2 linked regions of the Bombyx mori genome follow. The protein of the gene in region 1 purifies or fractionates together with the protein of each later gene. This does not show direct contact. Links are inferred from orthologs where the notes say so. Each region holds a gene or a part of one and is shown in the gene's direction. Other genes may lie near its edges.

Region 1 (2,889 bases):
CTCTTGATTTTCTAGGTCTCCTTCGGGGGCGCTCGGGCAGCTGTTAGCAAATCCCACCCCTCCTGGCTGAGCCTTTGCTCGCCCAACTGTCCTAGTGAAAGTGGAAAGGCCTCCGGGCCACCAGTAATCTTTCAATCATAAAAAAAATTGGGCCTTATTATGGGTTCATCTACCAACAATGGCCCAAAACGGTGGTTGCGATCAGAACGCGATTTGGCTGTGCCCCTGGCATCGCTGACTTCTTAGAGCCAGGGAAACCATTCATCAGATGAGCCGCATGCCTGTTAGTTTACAATGACAATAAAAGATAATTTATTTTCATCTTGACTAAATTCTATTCCACATCGAAAGAACAAATCATATTAAACTAACTATATAACTTATAGACCAGTCCAATTTAGATTGAAATACATTAAAACTTTATTAGGTAGGTATATCTTATGCGTATAAAAAACCGAGGGGCCTAAATCAAATATTAAGAAGTGTGTTAATGTTCTTAAAAAGCGAATAAAATTTATTTTAACTTTAGTAAAATGATAACGGTTTCAAATATCATTTTAAACTAGACAAAATAACGCAGATAAAGTATTTAAAAACTCGATACACGATATATAAGCCTATGAATTTTTAACCTACATAAATTCGCTGACCCTCTATATTTTGTCCCAACACAAAGCTTTCATAGAATCCGAATAAAGTGTACACGGTACAACTGGAAGAGATTGATTGCATGCTATTCGTTTTTTTTTTGTGTTATTCCAATAGTTTTATTAACTGCTACATACATAAGTTTTATAAATAGTTTTAATGATTAAAGAACTTGGACTTTTTGGCAGGAACGCGAGGAGTGAAGTTGTGTGTTTTTTTTTATTTTGTCTATTTAGTGTTTCTTCAAGTTTAAATGTGTCAGGCTGTATGTCGGAGATTCAGTTAGTTTATTACAATATGCCGATAACTTGGTTATTTAAATGTCTGACATGTCTTTTCCTTCGTTTTTTATTATTCATAAAGTGTAAATAATTTAAACGGCGAATTATAAAAATCTTATTACTTGACACATGCATAACCGTGTCGGAGCCAAAAAAAGAAGAACAATCCTGGTCATTAAAAATTAGGTATGTATTTAAAAAATGACATTGACAAAATGAAATTATGACATTGACAATGTGACAGTGACAGCTCAGAAAACTGCTAATTCGAACATAACCTCCTTTCCTGTTTCTCTTTGTTGTCAGAACTCAAACGTGCTTGTTCTCTCTTGAGCTAAGGCCTACGGCAACTTGCACGTTCAAAACTAAAAATGGTGTCAAAAGCTGAATTAGCATGTGTTTACTCTGCTCTCATCCTGGTTGATGATGATGTTGCCGTAACTGTAAGTAATCTTAATATTTGTAATTTTAATATTTTAAGGTTATTGAAGAATGTTTGTGTGACTAAATCCACGAACATCACACAAAATAGCTACAAAATCAGAACAACCAAGCATTTGTTTAGCATAGTAAACGTCTATTTTGTTAAAAATTCTGTATATTTTCCATTAATCTTAACTATTCATTTGGCGCCATATCTTTCGTATACTTACTTGTAGTTTTTTTTTCTAAAGTAAATATTTTTATGTTTTTGGAATCTAATGACAGTTTTATTGAAATAGGGTGAGAAAATTTCCACCATCTTGAAAGCGGCGGCTGTAGATGTAGAGCCATATTGGCCAGGTCTGTTCGCCAAAGCCTTGGAAGGCATCAATGTCCGTGACCTGATCACCAACATCGGCTCTGGAGTGGGTGCTGCTCCGGCCGCTGGTGGAGTGCCAGCCGCTGCTGCTGCAGCCGGCGCTCCGGCCGAGGAGAAGAAGGAAGAAAAGAAAGAGGAGGAACCCGAGGAGTCCGACGATGACATGGGCTTCGGTAAGCAATCCATACATATACATGCGATATTCAAAGTTTATTTTTGTTCAGATTTAAGTAGTAATTTATATTTTTATTTTTAAAGTTTTTTTTCCTGGGTAAAACATCTTTAATCTATTAAAACAAAAGTCTATAAAATGAATAACAGTTTCTAGTAAACAAATAAAAGGAGTACTTAATTAGAATGATTTGTTGAAAGATTATTCTAATAACAAAGACAAATTTTATCATAATATGTAAACTTCAATGATGTTTGATCATGTATTAGCTACTGAATCTTTTGATTGAAAATTTTTTACTGAGTATGTGGAGAATTGTTTAGGTCTTAATATTTGTAGTTAACATGTTCATCAATTTAATGTTATTTTCTGTTTCAGGTCTCTTTGACTAAGAAGCTTTATGAAGAAATAAAAATATTCCATTTTGTCTATTGTAAAGCTTTTATGTTATAAGAAACTGACTTTATTAAAATAAGTTAAATAAAACCATTGTCTTTTTCCCTTTTTCTATAATGGCATACGTTTACATGAATAGCAGTGTAGGACTAGTGTTGCCTATGAGCTTGCCTACACATTTAGTGAAATTAGCATAACCAGATTAGCCAATATATAGGTGATTGAACTGTAGAGATATTTGTAAGAAATAAAGAAATTTCATTTAATATTTAATTTAATAACATTACTACTATCATAGAATAAATTAGATTTTCAGCCCCACATAGCCCTCTGTACTCCTGAGAGTTTGTTGTAATCCGCTAGATGCCTCCAGACTATACGACTCATGCGCCATTCCTTTACTATACCTCTGGGTCTGAAATCAATTTCATATTAAACTTTTATTGCTCAGATTGGTGGACGAGCTCACAGGCCATCTGGTGTTAAGTGGTTACTGGAGCCCATAGACATCTACAATGTGAATGCAACACCCAGTTTGAGATATAAGTTCTAAGGTCTCAGTATAGTTACAATGGCTGTCCCACCCTTCA
Region 2 (4,298 bases), about 1.8 Mb from region 1:
ATGAAGAAGCAGTGCGTATTTTTTGTTTTAAAAATAGGTATACGCTTTCATGATATGAACAGTAGCATAATCGCATTGTCTGATACGATACGAGTAATCTATCTTATACTTTAAAGCACGACGATTTGCTACTAAGATTTAAATTTGTTTTTTATTTCACCGTCTTATGAGCTGCATGAAAATAATATAGGACAGAACACTACTTAAATGAATAATAGGACATTTTCAGAGCACTTTGACATCGATAAACACATTGAAACATGTACTTTTAGATAAACCACGAAAAACAATTTTTTTCCATACCTATACTGATAGTCTTGAGAGTTTGAGAGGCTGTATCAACGTTACCGAACGAGTAGGTGAGCTCACGGGGCTCAAACTTGGCGAAGTTGCTAACACTGACCGTAGCAAAAGCAGTGCCTCGCAGAATCCACCACCGGATCGAAAATGCGACCCAAGATCCGGCGAGAAACTCATTGAGGTGTGTCTGTGCGTTAATATACTCGCTGAGCTCTTCGTCGCAAGCGACGGGTTCGACGAGAACGATGACTGGTGCTTTAGGTACCTAAAAGCACCGTTAGTGGATCGGGAGGATCCGAAATGATCCTGTGACACAGGGTTAGTTTAATCGCCGAGCCCTTCTTCGCAAGCGACGGGTTCGACGAGAACGATGAATGGGAATAACAATCATCTACATCTCTCCACTAGATCATAAGGCCGATTACAGTGCTCCACCGACCGTCTGTGCGTACGTCAGTCGCGCTTGTCGTTTATATGAAAATTCATAAATCATTACAGTGCTGGACTGACCGTACGCACGCGCATGTTGTTACGCATTGCGTACGAGGACCGTCGGTCTAGCGCGTCCGCATGCGTGCCGTCAGTCGACCGACGCGCTATGGAAACAAATGAACGCGTTCTGTGTTGCACCGATGGGTGGACCGACCGTACGGATGTGTGTATCATCATCAAAAAAAGCATATTCGTATTGAACGTGGCCAAATATATCGACACCGAGCGCCTAATCACCGAAGTTCGTCTTCGTGAACCGCTCTGGGACAAAGGCCACGTGTTATATAAAGATCGTGATGGCAAGTTAAAGGCCTGGCAAGAAGTATGTGCTGATAATTCATCAAAACTTGATCGTCATTCTGAAATAATTTAAAAAACTTGAACGTTCCTTAAACGTTTTCGAAAATAATAAGCAGCAATTAAACTATTTACAAACGCTTCCCTTTTGCGTACCGACTATACCAATCCGGTCAGATTGTTGGTCAGGAGAGCACTGAATGAAGAAAACTGATGATCGGTTAATGCGTACCGTCAGGACGGAACATACGCACAGACGGTCGGTGGAGCACTGTAACCGGCCTAAGGAAAGATATCTAATCGAAGGAGATCGACTTAAATCGAAGATCGTAATCTAGGATCGATTTTCTGAAAGCTCAGTTCATTCATAGATAATACAGTTTGTTCAAATTTCAAATTGGTTACCCCTATTGTAAAGTAATGTAAAGCCTATTAAGTGTATAATCTATGGTAAAGCCATTTTGAATTTGTCCCGCACGGAAGTCGTGCGTTTTGTCTTGGTGAGTATCAAATTAAATCTGAACAAATATGTAAATTTAGATGATTAAATTCAAAATTAACCAGATAATATTCATTATTAAGAGTATTGTGTAAACCTAAAACAAATATTTTGTGATTAACGTAGTCAGGATCAAAACATACTTTTAAGTAAAACCTGTATCGTTTTCAGTCCTTAAATTTCATCGAAGTCCCTACGCCACACTATCCAGGATGGGTAGGGAGGACAAGGCTACTTGGAAGTCTAACTACTTCGTTAAGATCATCGTAAGTAAATTAATCACATCTAATAATGTCCACATAATATGGAACTGGAAACATGTTTATTGTCAGGTGAAATATACATTTTAATTAGAACATAACTCATTTTAACTACAGCAACTCTTGGACGAGTACCCAAAATGTTTCATCGTGGGTGCCGATAACGTGGGCTCGCAACAGATGCAGCAGATCCGTATCTCGCTACGTGGCTCCAGTATCGTGCTCATGGGAAAAAACACAATGATGCGCAAAGCCATCAAAGACCACCTGGACAACAATCCAGCCCTCGAGAAACTGTTGCCACACATCAAGGGCAACGTTGGCTTCGTGTTCACCCGCGGAGACCTCGTTGAGGTAATGTATTTCAATTAAATTATCTCTAGTGATTAATATAGCATTTCAATAAGTTATCAATAAGCAATTCCTTGAGGTAACAAGAGTTGTGTTCAATCAGGTCATCATTAGTGGTTAGTATAGCAATAAGCCATAGCTCCGCTGTTCCTGAGCTGAACATGAGCAACTGGACACTTGCCTCAGATAGCCTGTATGCCTGCTAAGGCTTATGGCGAAAAATACATCAAATTATATCATATCATAAAAGAGTATCTTATCAAAATGTATGTCATGAAAAATACCAGTTTTATTTAAAATGTTGCGTTTTAAACCTTGTTTCCTTCCAACTAGTGATTTCATTGGTTTTTAAGAAACCTATCATATTTTTATTAGGTCCGTGACAAACTGTTGGAGAACAAAGTCCAAGCTCCAGCTCGTCCTGGTGCCATTGCCCCATTGTCAGTCGTCATTCCCGCCCACAACACCGGCCTCGGTCCAGAGAAGACCTCTTTCTTCCAGGCTCTTTCTATCCCTACCAAGATTTCAAAGGGTAAGATTTTAATACTGTATCTACATATCTGCACTATCAGTAAACAAATTTTAGTATTAAAAAGTATACAAGCTAAAATTGAAACAATATAATATGCGGAAATACTTTTTGCAAGTTTTTCAGATCATGGGGGTTATTTGAGCGTTATAAAAGATGTGTTAATTTAATACTCTTGGGCAAATTTATATAAGGTTGATTACTCATTAAGGAAAAGTATTTTATCCACTAAATGGAATAATTAAATTTCATGTTTTTTTACTACCAATTACAAAACTATTGTATGGTAATGTTGGGATAAACTAAAAAAAAAACACTGTTGAATCAAAAAAAAAGGTTAATTCCATAATCCTATGGCACCTTAAGTTCTATTTACTTTTACATATTCAAATAAACCGAAGTAAAGACCAACAAACCTATAATAAAATTGAAATATTAACTATATAATATAATAATAGCATAGTTGCTTTTACACAACAGTATCATTGTCTGTTCTAAAACCAGTGAGCTTTTTCTATCTCTCTGGCTTCGCTTTCAGACTAAATGAAACTCTTACAACTTATCCTAGTATAATTGTTCCTAAAATGATAATTGTACTGGCATTTGTAAGAAACAAGTCTATTAAAAAAAGGAAATCTCTACTAAGAAAAACAGGATAACATTGCAAAGAAACCATAAAAGGGTTTTGCTGTGAATATTTCAAACTTACAACTCAGAGTTGTTATTGTTAAAAGCTTTGATTATGTCTAATTTATCTATATCTTTGAGTGTATCCAATAAAATTAAGGTTATTTTTATTTTTAAGGTACTATTGAAATCATCAACGATGTACACATCTTGAAGCCCGGTGACAAGGTTGGAGCTTCTGAAGCCACCCTTCTCAACATGTTGAACATCTCTCCATTCTCATATGGTCTTGTTGTTAAGCAGGTCATTATATTTTCATTTTATTTACACATAGCTTATTAATTATATTTGACATTATGAGCTATATTTATACAGGTATATTAATAAAGTAAGCTACAATTATAGGCATTAAATTGAAAATTATGAATACCCATAAACATACCTGATTATATTCAATGTTTTTCAGACACAGTAGTGTGTGCTTATCATTTAGTATACAGCTTTTGTCATGCCGATCTTTCAAAAAGAGTGGACCAGAAATAAATATGTATATGCACACTAGGCAAACCCATTAAACAGTTTTAAATTGTTTAATTTCTTTAAAATGTCTTTATTCAGTGCTAAAAAAATTATACATTTAAAGCAATAACACAAAAAAAATCTGACAGTACAATGTAAATCTTAATGCTTTCTTTTCTTTTTCGTTTGAACTTTCGTTTGATAAATTTACATAATTTAGCAAAAAGAATTACAGTGTAAATATATTTTTCCAGATCAATCCTTTGACACTTTTAATGTTGTAACCACTATTGGACCATTATTAAATAAAATAAATTGGAATTGTTTTGTTGTAATGGTCTATTAATAATATCAGGAATATGTACTTGAATAATCCAAAGTGTTGAGTACAGGATACGAGTATGTCTAAGTATTCTGATAATTT

Evidence for each region.
Region 2: the proteins of RpP1 (region 1) and RpP0 fractionate together in Homo sapiens (co-fractionation; 5 studies listed by BioGRID and IntAct, with this or other methods). This does not show direct contact. The link is inferred for Bombyx mori from reciprocal best matches to the Homo sapiens genes RPLP1 and RPLP0.

Annotation. Positions count from the first base shown.
Region 1 is NC_085121.1:13,787,245-13,790,133, forward strand, and holds RpP1 (ribosomal protein P1), read left to right. Parts: upstream 1-1,150; 5' UTR 1,151-1,300; coding exon 1,301-1,372; intron 1,373-1,651; coding exon 1,652-1,987; 3' UTR 1,988-2,281; coding exon of another isoform or gene 2,282-2,295; 3' UTR 2,296-2,389; downstream 2,390-2,889. Other genes in the region: mRpS14 (mitochondrial 28S ribosomal protein S14), read right to left, coding at 2,612-2,714. UniProt on the Homo sapiens protein: Plays an important role in the elongation step of protein synthesis.
Region 2 is NC_085121.1:15,549,623-15,553,920, reverse strand, and holds the start of RpP0 (ribosomal protein P0), read left to right. Parts: upstream 1-1,498; 5' UTR 1,499-1,589; intron 1,590-1,759; 5' UTR 1,760-1,800; coding exon 1,801-1,854; intron 1,855-1,965; coding exon 1,966-2,202; intron 2,203-2,574; coding exon 2,575-2,731; intron 2,732-3,533; coding exon 3,534-3,658; intron 3,659-4,298.